Linked DNA regions of Diceros bicornis minor. The protein of the gene in region 1 binds, or shares a complex with, the protein of each later gene. Links are inferred from orthologs where the notes say so. Each region holds a gene or a part of one and is shown in the gene's direction. Other genes may lie near its edges.

Region 1 (7,191 bases):
GTATTTCTTACTCTTGGTCCAGTTGGAAGATGTGGATTAAAGTGGAGAAGGGGCAGCTAGAGCCCATTCAGTAGGCCGTTGTGAATTCCTGATGGGAGGAGCGGCTCCAGGACCTGAAAGGAAGGAGCTGGTGTAGGGCCGCTAGAAGGAGGTGGCCAGGAGATCAGTGGAGCCCTTGCTGGGTGGGAAGTGCTGGGAGTCTGGGGACGGAGCGGAGAGTGTGATATGCTTCCTCCACTCCCACAGGCCTCTTTGGCTTCGTGATCCTCTCCCTGCTGCTGGTGCCCATGTACTACATCCCCGCCGGCTCCTTCAGTGGAAACCCTCACGGGACGCTGGAGGATGCGCTGGACGCCTTCTGCCAGGTGGGCCGACAACCACTCATTGCCCTGGCGCTGCTGGGCAACATCAGCAGCATTGCCTTCTTCAACTTTGCGGGCATCAGTGTCACTAAGGAACTGAGCGCCACCACTCGCATGGTGCTGGACAGCCTGCGCACTGTTGTCATCTGGGCAGTGAGCCTGGCACTGGGCTGGGAGGCCTTCCACCCACTGCAGATCCTCGGCTTCCTCATCCTCCTGATGGGCACCGCCCTCTACAACGGGCTACACCGCCCGCTGCTCACCCGCCTGTCCAGGGGCCGGCCCCCGGCAGAGGAGGGTGAGCATGAGAGACTGCTGGGTGGCTCTCGGACTGCCATCAACGATACCAGCTGAGCCTTCTGCAGGGCCTCTGCTGCCACCTGGACACTCCTTGTTCACCCTGAGGCTGAGGTCGCACGGGCTGGTGAGCCTCGAGTGCCCTGTGCCCAAGGCCTCACCCTGCCCCTCCCCACAGACCCCCAGGAAAGCTGCTGCCACAGAACATGACATGATACCCTGGTCCTCCTTTGTCACAACCCCCTGCAGAGAGGTGTTACCCAGCCCCCACAGGCCTGAGGACAGTGACCGACCCCTGCCTGGCTCCACGAGGAAGTCACTTAACCTTCTTGAGGCCACGATTGCCTCATCCGCACCCACCTGTGCCTCGTCTGCACCCACCTGTGCAGGTTGTTATGCAAGAGAATGAAAGTTAAGCACCGTATTTTCTAAAACTTGTAAGATATTCCCTAACCCTGTCTGGAGACCTAGGTTTCAGTCAGGCTGTGCAGCAGACTCGTGTATGCTCCCTAGCCCATTACCTGGTCGCTCTGGGCCTTGGTGTCCTGCTCTGTAAAGCAGAAGGTATCAACACTGTGGCTTCAGTGCCTTCCAGCCCCAGCTGGGCACAGTTTGTAGGCCTACGATTTTGACCTACCTGGGAAAGGAGTAACAGCCCATTTATTGGAAATGCCCCTCTGCCCACAGTGCCTCCTCCCCAAGCCTGTTTTGATGTCCTTGCTCACACACCCTCAAGTCTTCCCTGACTGAGAGGGATTACAGCCAGAATTCCAGGCAGCCCTTGATAACAGTGTTTAGGATGTCTTTACCTCCATTTTAAAGATGAGGAAACTGAGGCCTAGGGTTCTGTATTTTTTGGCAGGAGGGCTCTCTTGCTGTAGGCTCTGGCCATGCAGCCACATGATCCTGCCATAGGCTGAGATCTAGAGTACATTTGGACCTCAGCCCCCACCTCCCAACCTGACTCTTAGAGAACCCTCCAGGTTGGTGGACTTACCAGGATTCTACCATTTAAAGTAATTCTGGTATCCCAGGCATTGTGTTAAGTGCTTAACTTTCATAGCAGCCTGCACGGGTGGGTGCAGACAAGGCAACTGTGGCCCCAAGAAGGTTAAGTGACTTCCTCATGGAGCCAGCATTCTAAGCTAGGTTTGCCTGATTCCACACCTGGGCCCCCACCTCCCATATGGGTTTCCCTGGGGTCTTTGGGGGGAATTTCCTGTGGCTGGGATAGAAGCATTATGCTGTTGTCCTCCTGGTAACCCCACCCAGAAGAGATGGACTGGCTGGCATCAGGGACTGCAGGGAGCTGAGCAGCCCTCTGTTCCAGTGTTCCTCACTCTGGTAGTTTCTGGAGCCTCAGACCATCTTCCTGGGCTGCTCAATCATAAAACAAAGCACTGAATGCCTTCCTTAAAATAGGTTCTGGGGAAAGGATCTTTGACAAGCAAAGCCCTCAGACTATGCGGGAATCCAGCAGGTTCTTACAGCTTGTTGGGAGAGGAGGGCCTCTCCATCCCACCAGCTCACAGAAGAAGGAAATGGAGAGTGAGGGTGGTGGGGACTACAGCTGCCTTGTCCAAAAAACTGGGGCCTTAGAATGTTGTTTTAGGCTTTATTTTAAAAAGGGAAATTGGTAGTATGGACTTTTTTTTAACAAGAGGGAAGGAGCACAAGGGTTGGAACGTTCCTGGGGATAGCGTCTAGAATGTTGGGATGGAAAAGCTCTAATGTACCAAAGCATAGAAATCACCCAGTCCACCATTCATTGTTCAGATGAAGAAACTAAAGCCCAGAGAGAGGAAGGAACTTCCCAAGGTCACACAGCCAGTGACATGCAAAGCCAGATTTCCTGGTTCTCAGTACTTGCCCATCCCATTCTGCCACAGGGAGCGTAGCCAGGGGCCTGTACCGAGAGTCCAGGACTGCTCCTCTGCTGCGGACTGCCCAGCCTGTGCGCTCAACCATGCAAACCGCTTCAGAGGGTGTTAGAGAAGCACTTGGCCTTTATTTGAGTGCTGCCATGGGAGACTGTGTTGATTTTAATGTTGAAGGGGTGGGGGGAACTATAATGGGACTTCAGTGGTCAGGGGTTGCAGAGCATAGGGACACCCTGTCAGGCCTGCCACCAATTCAGGGAACCTGCTTTACCTCCTGGAGCTTTAGGTCTTCACATCTCCAAAATGAGAAAGCCAGCCTCCATCTTGCAGGATGAGTGTGAAAATTACATAAGATGATAAACTGAAGGTGCCTCTATGTGCCAGTGCACAGCAGAGTGTCACGTAGGGCTGCACTGTCCACCACAGTGGTCCATCGGGGGCACTGAAGTCCCAGCATTGTCACGGCACAGAACATCGGTTTTGCTCAGCATAGGAGAAATGTTTTATTAAAACAAACCATCATGGAGTAGAATGTGAAATTCACATCGATGATAAATTAAAACAGGATGCCTCCAGAAAATTTTATGCTGGCAGTAGGTGTCCTCCCAGGCCCTGGGATGTGTCCACTGTACCCTGTTGTCAGAGGTGCTTTGAGGGTGAATGAGAGGCCTTACTGTGTTGTGCTGGTCATGTGCAAGGGGAAGGACCTCCCCTCTCCTGAGTCTGGATGGTTGCGGGGAATGTCTGTAGCTGTGGCCTACTGTTCTGAGTGGAGTAAGGGAGCCCTGAATGGTGGGCATTTGGCGTGGAGGCCCTGAGCCCCAAAATCAGAATAACTGATAACAGACCTCCATCGGTTATCAAATATTTGAACATCGGTTCAAATACAGTGTAATTTAAATCATCCACATGGTGAACTGATTAGTCCTCGTAGAGTGATCCTAGGGGAGCCTGGGGCTGGAGCTTCCTCCAGGACTGCCATCCAGGCCTGGGAGTAGCCCTCAGGCTCCTCTCCACCGGGAATCTGCCCACAAGGCGGAGATTTAGTCCCGTGCCAAATGGTTCTGTTTGCCTTTACTTTGCCCAAAGGACTCTGCGTAGTTGAACAAGCAGACAGCGCTCCAGGAGGTCAGAGCTCTGACCCCTTATGAGGACTTCAGAGGAGTGGAGCAAAGGGCCTCCTGTGTAGGAGAAAGAAGCAGAATCTGGCGGCAGAGAGCTGTGTTCTCAGCCCTGCCTCTACCTTGACTGGATGGCCTTGGACAAGTCATGTTACCTCTCAAGACCTTGGCTACCTATAAAAAGGAGAGGTTCTCAGCATTCCTAAACGTGTTCACCTCCCTGACCCACTTATAGATTGCCTTTTGTTGACTACATCCTTTCAAAACTCGAGGTAAGCAGGGGTTTCCCTATGTAGCCATAAAAGTTTATAGATCACCCTTCTTCATTAAGAACACTTGTCAAAAAAAATTTAATAAGGGGTTTCTATCCCAGAATTCAGCAAACTTGATTGAGGACTGATGTGCTCCAAGGAGAGTGGATCCATCAAAGAACACAGGAGAAATGAATATGTAAAGAAAGAATTCCAGCACAGTGTGATGTGCAATAAGAGGCCTTTGTACGAGGTGCAGGGAAGGTAGTACAGGAGAGACCAGCTAACTCCATCTAGAACTGTCAGAGAGAGCTCCACTTGAACTGGGTGTTGAAGGATGAGCAGGAGTCCCAGCTGGGGGCTGAAGGGCAGGAGAAGGAGTATTCCAGGAAGGAACAGCTTGTAAAACGTACGGAAACGTGAAGGCGTATAACAAGGCGATGTAGTCAAGAACTGCAGGTAAGTGGACTGGTGTGCCTGGCAGTAAGCATGCAACGCAGAAGAGGCCAGAGAGGTGGGCAGGCGCCCAGACAGTGCTGTGCCCTCAGTGCTGCTGAGGCATTAGAACTCTGTCATTAGACGGTGGAGTGCCATGGAGAGTTTTAGGCAGGGGAGGCGACATGATCCAAATTGCTATTTAGAAAGATGACCTGGTGGTTATATGGAGACAGGTTTGATTGGCGTTAAGAGGTACTGAAGACAGAGACCAGTAAAACAACCTTTGATTAGGGTCTGGACTAGAGAAATGGGGGCGAGGATGAATATAAGAGCCATTCAGGGAGGAGGCTCACATTGCAGAGCCCCTGGCTGTCGGGTCTTCTATTGTGTAAGCCGCCACCAGAGTGGGTCTTCTCACCCCCATCGCCAGTGGACCCACGGAATATCCCCAGGTACCGCTCCAGCCAGCGAACTCAAGAAGATTCTGCTTTCCGGGACTGTAGACCTAGTTCACTTCAGCATGCCTGTTGAGAGTCGCTCCCTTCCCGAGCTGGGCTGGAATTCCCACCAGGACCGTGGAACAACCAAGGGGGATGTCAGCGTGGGCATCACAGAAACATCCAAAGTCGTCAGTGCAATGTGGTGTTCGTTTACTTTTAGTTATAAAGTCAGGAGAGAAAAGAGCACCGAGATCAAGATACAGGGTATTATTCTCGGGTTCAGATCCCCAATCCAAGGTAAAGACTTGGGTTGGTTGATAGGGCAAAACATAAAATGTTTGAGCAAAGTGATTTGTCTAGAGAAACGCGTTCTACAAACTCACCATCTACATCTTCAAAATCGAGCCTTCCCTTTCCTACCAGAGGGCACCCGAGGACTCGGGTCAGATCCCTCAAAGACGAGCACCCCGACAGGCAAGCGGAGGGCGGGAGAAGTTCCCGCCTCCCTTTACTTCTCCAAGTTCCCATAGGCTGAGTCCTGCTGTGGACCCGCCATGTTCCCGCTCTCTCCTCCTATCACCGCCGCCGTCAGGGTCCCGGGCTGTGTTCTCATTGGTCCTCCCGCAGTCGCTCTGCGCCGGGGCGTTCCAGAGGCAGCCACTGAGAGTCGCTGGATTCGGGTTTTAAAAAACGCCGGCAGGGAATCGGCGATGCGGGCGTTTTGAACGTGAGGCGGCGCGGCGGCTGCGGAGCACCCAACCGCGGGGCCACGGGTCGGGGCGCTGCCAGGCCGCCCGCGGACGCCAGCCTTGGTCTCCAGACTCCGAAGGCCGAGAAGGAGCCGCGGGGCCGCAACCCTCCGCGCCCGCCATGGGCCCGCGCCGCAAGCCCGAAGTCCCGAGGAGGCGCGCCGCCAGCCCGGCCCCCGGCAGCCCCCGGCGGGCCCCGTCCTTAGGTAACCGGCCGCGGCCCCTTCCCGGCACGTGCTGTGAGGTGGGCACGGCCGGCTCGCGTGCCCGTTTCGCAGACGAGAACACCGAGGTCGCGTGCCGAGCCTGGGGTTGTGCCGGAATGCCCCGGTTCCGGGTCCGCTAGCATCCTCTGCACTGGCCAGCGCGGTTCTGCCGTCCCCCATCTGCTCGCCGCGGCCCCGGGGACTGGGGAAGGCAGTGCCGCGCAGGAGAAGGACGGGCCCAGACAGCCTGGGTGCTGGTGCTAATTCTTCCCGATGCTACTAGCATTTATGGAGTGCTTACCGCTAACTAGACATTGTGTTAAACTCTTTACGAGAATTATCTCAACGTTATATTGTGCCCATTTTACAGATGAGAAAACCGAGGCGCAGACAGGCCAGGTGACTTGAACAAGGTCACACCCCTGTTCCGGCAGACACCGGGCTTTCAAAATCAGTTTGTGATTTTTTAAATTGCAAAATTATTGGCTGCTTTTTGTGACGATTTCAAACAACAATTCTGCTTTTAGAAAGTGCCCTTCCAGGGCCAGCCTCCATGGCCTGGGGTTTAAGTTCAGTGCACTCTGCTTCGACAGCCCCAGGTTCTGGTCCAGGGGTGCAGACCTACACCGCTCATCAGTGGCCATGCCGTGGCAGTGGCCCACATACAAAATGAGAAAGATTGGCGTGGATGTCAGCTCAGGGCGAATCTTTCTCAGCAAAAAAAAAAAAAGAAAGACGAAGGTACCCTTCCAGGTTTTTTTGTTTTTTCTCTTCAGTGAGTGGCTGTGTTGGGCCTTAACCAACGTGCTCTAACTCAAGCGGTGCTCTCACCTTGTTCCCTTCCCGAGGTTATGTGCCGGAAAGAAGACTGGTTTGTGGTCCTCAGTTTCTCTACTGTGGTCTGGTGGGTGGGAGACCCACTGGCAAGAACTGGGCTCTGTGGCAGCAACCGCTTTACTTGTCTTCTGCTGCATGACTAAGAGCAGGGTGAAAAAAGTATAGATTATTTATAGATGTTGCTGCTGTGAACGGGATTTTTTTTTCTTTCCTAAACAAATAACCTTTGCATCCAGCCAACCTGCTGAATTCTCTTGTGAATCCTAATAGTTTTTCAGTTGCTCCAGTTGAAATGTTTAAATAGGCTACTATATGGTCTGCAAATAATGACTTTCGAATCTTCTTTTTCCTATTTGTACGTTTTATTTCTTATTGTATGGTACTGTGGAGGCCCTAAGACTAGTGTTGAAATAGGAGCAGTGTTTTGGCCGTCTTTGTCTTGTAATTTTAACAGGAATGTTGTTAAGTATGATGTTTGCTGTTGCTTTCCGATGTAGAAATATCCTTCGACCCTGGATCAGGCAATTCTGCCTCCACATTGCATCCTTAATCTCCCCTCTTGTTGCCATCTCTGCTCCCATCAGCCGAGTCCAAGCCAGCAGCATCCTAG
Region 2 (7,284 bases), on another chromosome or scaffold:
TGATTGATCATTGGATTCATGGATGGGTGGATAGAATTCTGGGAGTTTGTGAATAGATAGATGACTAGCTAGATGGATGGATGGATGGATGAGTGGATCAACAGGAGACCTGATTCATGGGTGAATGGATGGATGGATGGAGAGATTCATGAATAGGTTGTGGAAAATCTGGTTCACTGATAAGATGTATGCAAGGATGGATGGGTGAATGGGAGAATGAATACATGAATGGATTCATGGATGAATTATGAATGTGTTGGTAGAAGACCTGATTAATGGATAAATGGATTCATAGATGTTGATGGATGATCCTTGAATGGGCTGGGAATCCTTGAATGGGCTGGGAAAAGAACTGATTCATGGATAGATCTATGTAATGATGAGTGGGTGGGTGGGTGGATGGATGGATGGATGGATGGATGCGTGGATACATGGGTAGATTCACCGATGGATTATGAATGCTTTGGCAGAAGACCTGAGTCATGGATGGACACATAGGTGGATGAATAGGTGGATAGATGTATCAATTCATGGGTGAACGACAAAGGAAAGGAAGGAAAGAAAAGCTTCTTCTCCCCACTCCCCTCCCCCCATCCTCCCATAACTCACTGGTTGGCCTTCTTGACTGTGGTGAATTGTGAGTGATCTCTCTTCAGGGGCCCCAGGGCAGGTATCTGATGGAGCAAAATCTTCTTAAGACTATTCCGGAAGTACGATGACTTGCCCCTTGAAGACAAATAGGCCACAGCTGGCATGAGTGGTCAAGGTCCCCCACCCTCGGAGCATCCATGGCAACCCTGTCCCCACCAACAGGTCACTGACACTTACCGCAGGTCTGGGAGGAAGGAGTAGTTGGGACACTGAGGACACCTCCGGCAGTGCTCTGACACACCCCTTTGATGTGGCGATGCTGGGAACCAGGAGGAGGTGGAAAGAGTTATGAGCCTTTGCTTGGGGACAGTCCTTCCTACGCTCTTCCTAGTTATGCGGCCTTGGGCCTCGGCTTCCTCATCTGTACAATAGGGGCAATGGTAGAGCCACCCTCAAGGGGAGGTTGCTAGGACTGTGCTAGGAATACACGACTAATATTAGCATCATTCTGGGCATCATGGTGGGCCCCCCACCGGAAATGACTCAGCCCCGCCCTTGCCCCGCCCCCTGGGGGCGCCACAGGGCCTCACTCGGTGGCTGCGGCTGCTCCTCCTCACGCTCCACCCCAAGCTGGCGCAGGAACCCCCGGAACCTGCTGGGGAGGAGGAGCTCCCCCAGGAGGGCACCCAGGGACTCCGGGGCCTCCTTGGCCGAGCCCCTTCGGGGGTCCTCGCACTCTCCAGGTCCGCGGCGCGGGGGCGCCGGTGCCCGGGGCGCGCGAGCCAGGAGCAGGGGCGGCAGTAGCAGCGACCTCAGCCCTGTGCGTTCCTGCGCCGCCCGCGGGGCCACGGTGGGCAGGGCGGGCAGGCGCGGCAGGGGGCTCCGGACGCCCACCCCAGGCTCTGTGTGCGAGGACGCGCACCTGGGGGCCTGCCACCACCCTGCGTCGCTCCCCAAGGCCCTCGAACTCCCTGAGCCCCCCGCGCCAGAAGATGCTCGCAGCTGGGGCGCAGGCAGCCTGGGCAGCAGCGGGTCGCTCCTTCGGCGAGCGCCGTCGCCGGGGAACCCCTTGGGCGCCACCTGCTGGGCCCCCGGGTTGGGGTGACGCTGGGGCATGGCTGGCCCTGCGCTGGGCTCAGGCCATCCTCACGTCAGTGGGGGCGGGGGGTGCCGTGTGAAGTGGAGAGGAGGGCAGAGACCTGCCCCCAGGCCATAGCGCCCAGAGCGGGGCAGTGTGGTTTGGGGGTGACACCACTGGCCCCCCAGACAGTGAGTGGTTCAGGCTAGAGCCTCTGTTTCCTCACCTGAAAAATGATGACGGTAGGCATACCCACCTTTTTGAGTTGCTGTGACGTTTAATGAGCAAGCGCATGTCAGTGGCTTAGAAGAGTGGCAGGCACGTTGTACCTGCTCAGCAAGACGAGTTGCTCTTCTTATTCTTTTCAAATTATTACTATTTAGGATTTAGTAATAATTTGTTATTGTATATATTGTATATATTGTATTGTATATATTGCTATATACAATAATTTAGTTACAAGGATAACCTTGTAACTTTGTAACCTAGAGAGCCAACTAATTAACTTCTCTCGGTGCCGTCAGGGGATAACAGAGCCCCTGCTCCTTTGTAAGAATGAATAACATCCCGCGGTAGAGAGCAGTTAGCACTGGAGTGTTCCAGTCCAGGAGGCTGTTACTGTTATTAGCGCTCTGCTGGGAACTGAGAAACCCAGAACCAGCTTGAAAGGAGAGACCCTCAGAGCCCCGTGGGTGGGGGCCTGTTGAAAATACAGATGCCCCGGATGCTGATTCAGTAGGTCTGGGGAGGGGCCAAGACACATATTTTTAATAAACACCTCCTTTGGAAGACAGACCCCAGGCCTGCCCCCTGCTTCTGACACTGGGGGTCTGGGAGCTGCTTCCTCCGTACCACACCCAGTCCCAGACTGTTGTCAGCTCTGAGCTGGCTCCTAGTGTCACACTCACCCTGGTGGGGCTTCTGGGTGAGGCCAGAGGAGGTCCTGTGAGTTTAGAGCCCCCTAACAGGTGGGCTGGTCCTTGGGAGAGCCCATCTTCCTGGCCTGGTCCCTCTGCAGCCCCTCCCTGCTGCCTCCAGGGCCTCTTCAGGGTCATTGTGATCCGCCCCCACCCAAGGCCAGCTGAGGAGCATCTGCACTGAGGCCTGGGGGCAGAGGGCGGGGCTGTTATGCTCAAGATAACAAGACTGCTGTCACAAGGGGGTGGTGGGGCTCCTGACCAGGAGGGACAGAGGGCCCAGGGTTCGGCTACCCCCTCCCAACCCGGAGGCCCAGGTGGGTCATGTTTGGGCTGGGTGGCTCTGGAAGTAAAACTTCCGCCAGAAGCCTGGGCAGTAAGAATGCCTGGAAACGAAGAGACCTATTTTGAGTCCATGCTGTGCTCTGTTTGCTGTGTGATGCTGGACAGGTTTCTCCTTTCTCAGGCCTCCATGGTCAAATGGACTGTTGGGCCCCGTCTATGATTCTCGGCTGCGAGGGGGCAGGGAAGAAGCTTGTACTGTGAAAATCGAGTGGGGGACAAGGCTAGTTTGGACCAGTAATTTCACTGGCATGGTATAATTTTATAATTTGAAAAATGAAAAAATGACTTTGTAATTCAAATTACAAGGTGCCTGCCTGGAGGAGGCATCACAGATGATGTATTTCATTGTCTGCAAATACTCCTCAACTAGGAATGGAAGGGCATACCTCATTGGGAAGTTAGAATAATGAATGGGGAAGGTGAGAAATTTTTATATTTATTCTAAGGCTATGTGAGTTTTTAAGAGCTGGACAAGGACCACCAGACTAACCAGCTGATTTCTAAGGAGCTCTCCAGCGCTCGCATGCTGCAAACATTCACTAAGTGACTGCTGTGTGTGAGGCTCAGGGATTCAGAGATGCAAGAGGCTTGGAGGTCAGAGGGCTGGCCAGAACTGGAAAGGCCTTGGAGCCCGGGTGTGAGGAAGAGACTTTCTCTTCCATCGACAGGAAAAAAAGTAGGAGTAGATTTTTAGGCACCCCAAGAGAGCTCAGAGCTGCGCCCAAAAGATTATGGACACCCCCAGCAATTGAGATAGCTTAGGGTTTATCCCTTTCCCATAGAGATATGGAAAGTGAAGCTTGGGAGAGGTGCCCAGGCCGGGGAACCAAGTCTGACCTCGAGTACTCTAGAGAGGATGCCAAATAATATGTACATAGACAGATGTGGGGCACTCAACAGCAGGTGGGGCTTTTCAGCGCCCCCCCCCAATAGCTTTCACTTCATTAGAGCCAACACACTGTAAGCACCTCCTGTGTGCAGCGCCCAGAGGAAGGCACTGTAAATCTAAGACCAGGATGTCAGTTTAGGAAAAAGGAACTTATGATGAATATTGTCATTATAACAGCTTGTTTACTGAGAGACCACGACAAGCCCAGGGCTGAAGGCTTCACATGCAATATCCCACAAATTTAACCCTCAGAGCATTGGAAGGTGAGTAATTATTACATCTGTCTGGCAGAAGAGGCGACTGAGGCTTTGAGAGGTTCACAAGGGCTAGCCACCCGCAAAATTACATTTCCATCAAGGCTGCTTCAAGGACTGCTCCAGAATTTCTATATATGGGAGGAGCCTAGGGGAGGGCAACCTTTTTGGAATGGGAACTTCATGGACTTGTTCTGCTTATTTGGGGTGGCAACCCCTTGGCACTGCCAAGGGTATTTCTTTTTCTTTCTTTCTTGGATCTGTATGTTATTTTAAGATGCTAGTTGTTATGGGAGAGATTTGAGGAATAAGGCTTTTTTTCCCCCTTTTTACCCAGTGAGAAACCCAGAGAACGCTCGTTTTTAAAAATCCAGGCTTGCAGCCTCCACATGAACCGGTGCACGTGCTGGAGGCGGGAGAGGGTCGGTGCTGCGGTCCTTTTAAGTCCGGGAGGTTCTAGGTCAAGACCCACTGGGCGGGGCAAGCCGATGGCGGGGCGGAGCCAGCCGCGGCCCCGCCCCCGGGAGCCCGGAAGTGACGTGAGCGGACAAAAGCGGCGCGTGCCGCGCGGTGTGGCGTCTGGCCGGGGGCTGACGGAGCTGGTGTGGCTGGTGGGGTCTTCGCCGCCGCCCTTTCCTCTTCCGCGTCCTCTTCTCCCGGTCCCGGGAGCCCCCGCCCGGGGTGAGTAGCGCGCGGCGGAGCGGGGGACGGCGGCGCCGCGAGAGGGAAGGCCCGGCCCCCAACTGCCTCGGCGCCCGAGGCCCCGGCCAGTCACGTGACCGGGCGCGAGCTGGCCGGCCTCACGTGCGCGCCCCGGCTTAGGGGGGGTCCCCGGTGGGGGAGGAGGAAGAGGCCGAGCCCCCCAAAGCCCGGGTGGACACCCCCACGCGGCCCCCCGTGCCGCAGCAAATCTCTTTCCGTCCCTGAGCCTCAGTTTCCCCCATGAGAAACGGGGATAGGGAGGGCACCCGCTCCGAGAGGTGCGTGAGGATTCAGCACAATGCCCAGTTCAGAGCCAGGCACGGGGTAGCGCCCGTGGCATAGGAGTTGCTATCATATTTCACCTGGACCCAGCCCCAGTGACGGCCCGACACAGGTGCCGCTCAGAAGACAGCCCCCGAGAGCCCTTGGAGCCAAGGTTAGCCTGTTTGCAGAGAGGCTGCCGGACCGAAGGCCCAGGCTGTGCTGCTCGTCAACTGTGTGGTCTCTCTCTGGACCCTGGGTTCTCCGTCTGTGCATTAAGGGATGGAAAGGGTGTCAGGCCGTGCCGGTGGGTGGGGCACCGTTGCCGATGGTCTGGGTGTACAGAATCATTGCCCGGTGAGATGGGATAAGCCCCTGGGAGGACCGGGGCCTTGACTGGGATGGGAAGTCTGGATTCCCTCCTTATTCTGTTGGAGTTTCCCTGTGTTTGTTTTAAGGCGCATCACTCTTTTAGTGGAATGGTTTTTCTGTCTGTGAACTGGGGACTGTGGGAGCTGCTTTGGTGAAGACCAGAAGCCACCGAGGCAGAGACAGCGGTCTCCAGAATCTCTGCAGCGTTTCTGTGTTGACACGGATGGGACGCTCACCCCTCCCCTGCAGACTTGCAGCGCTGTCTCAGTCTGCTGGGTTGACCACCCAGCATAACAGTAATAATCCCTAAGGTGTGTCCAGCACCCTACAGTTTACATTTTCCTCATTTGATCTTCGCAACTGGCAGAGAGAATGGATGAGAATCTTGTTTGACAGAGATGTATAAACTGGAGATAACATGTACCCTGCACTGTATGGATCACTTTATGTTTTTATATTGACATTTAATCATCACAGCCTCCCTATAAAGTCAGTATTGCTGTTCCAATTTTATAGATAAGGCAACTTACTTAACTGTTTGTGTCTTGTTTGAGCTGACACACCAGCGAGAAGCAGAGCCAGGCTTCAGACCTGGTTCATCTGATTCCGTCAGAGCCTTCATTTGTTTTTAAATTTTTCTCCCATTTTTTTTTTTGGTCTTCCTTATTCCCTCCCTCCTTTTCTTTCTTTTTCATAGAGCACCCTGCCCTTCTCATATGTCCAGCCGCTGTCCACACAGATCCAGGGAGAACAGGCCCTGTCCCACGGGCTGTGAGGGCAGAAGTAACTTGAGGCAGACTCTTGCCTCCTGTTGCTTTCAGGCTTTTTCTTAGAGACCAGTCAGTGAGGAGGATGAGATGACTCTGCAGAGCACTGACGGTGACAGTTCCAACACCGTTCTCTTCCCTGGATCCTGGGAGAAGAGAAGGTGGCTGGGGAAGCTGCCCAGGTGTTGCCTCAAACACCTTGGTGTGGGGAGATGGCCAGATGACCATGAAGGATGCACAGAGGAATTCCACCCCTGAGGAGCAGAAGTTCACTATGAGCAAAGGATTTCTCTTCCCCTCCGAGCTAGCCTAGAGCGCACACAAAGGCAGATTGTGCCCAGGCCCCTTCCCCCTCCCTGCAGCCATGTAGTTCCTCGCTGTGATCTGGACAGAGTCTAGGAGGACTGCCTGCTGTTTGACGACCCTGCTGTTCCCTCTGACTCCTGCCCACTCTAAGCTGGACACTGCAAGGCAAAGTGTAGACAGGGCCCCCCCGAGTCACATTTACTCATGAATCAGCTGTTAGAACAAACGTCAGAGTCATACTCTCCATTTCCCGGCCTACATGTGCCTCCCCCGGCTTGTTCCTAGAATCTGCCTCTAAGTGGAATTCTTATAAATTAAATTATTCAGGGGACCTTGACATTTAAAGGAATCATGTTGTAAGGCTTTTGGTAGAGCAAAAAATTATATTGTCAGTAATGGCCTTCAGTGTTATCAGTTCTGAAGGGCTGTATTTTTGTCTGTAGGATTTTCTTAAAAGTGGAAAATGACTGTAGCCGCACAAAGCTCATTCTTTGATTCCTTCACCAATTAGTAAACACCCACCTTGTGTCAGGTACTGGGCTAATGGTGTACAAGGTTGTGTGCCTGACCCAGGAGGCTTACCTCCTGGGAGGGAAGGCAAACGGATTGGCAGAGAGGACAGCCAGGGACACGTGTGGCCCCAGATCTATTCTGTTGATTTAATCGGAAGCGAAGTTTGTGTTGAACACCTGTGTGCTATGTGCGCTGCAAGAGAAATACAGGGCTACAGCTCGGTGTCGCCACTGCTCTGAGGAGCTCCCAGTCCAGTGGGGGTAGGATTTGAATACAAAACCGGAAGTTT

The links. The genes of interacting proteins can lie anywhere in the genome.
Region 2: the proteins of CENPA (region 1) and NTMT1 are in contact, whole or in part, in a crystal structure (PDB 5CVD), measured with the Homo sapiens proteins. The link is inferred for Diceros bicornis minor from reciprocal best matches to the Homo sapiens genes CENPA and NTMT1. Residues at the interface, in NP_001800.1 of Homo sapiens: Gly2, Pro3, Arg4, Arg5, Arg6, Ser7; in NP_001273725.1 of Homo sapiens: Tyr19, Trp20, Met30, Leu31, Gly32, Tyr34, Ile37, Trp136, Asn168, Ile175, Asp177, Asp180, Asp212, Glu213, Ile214, Tyr215.

Annotation. Positions count from the first base shown.
Region 1 is NC_080751.1:55,990,066-55,997,256, reverse strand, and holds the start of CENPA (histone H3-like centromeric protein A), read left to right. Parts: upstream 1-3,963; 5' UTR 3,964-5,659; coding exon 5,660-5,744; intron 5,745-7,191. Other genes in the region: SLC35F6 (solute carrier family 35 member F6), read left to right, coding at 247-716. UniProt on the Homo sapiens protein: Histone H3-like nucleosomal protein that is specifically found in centromeric nucleosomes. Replaces conventional H3 in the nucleosome core of centromeric chromatin that serves as an assembly site for the inner kinetochore.
Region 2 is NC_080767.1:37,215,706-37,222,989, forward strand, and holds the start of NTMT1 (N-terminal Xaa-Pro-Lys N-methyltransferase 1), read left to right. Parts: upstream 1-4,050; 5' UTR 4,051-4,083; intron 4,084-4,640; exon of another isoform or gene 4,641-4,755; intron 4,756-5,495; exon of another isoform or gene 5,496-5,720; intron 5,721-7,284. Other genes in the region: C28H9orf50 (uncharacterized protein C9orf50 homolog), read right to left, coding at 610-726, 829-910, 1,182-1,707. UniProt on the Homo sapiens protein: Distributive alpha-N-methyltransferase that methylates the N-terminus of target proteins containing the N-terminal motif [Ala/Gly/Pro/Ser]-Pro-Lys when the initiator Met is cleaved.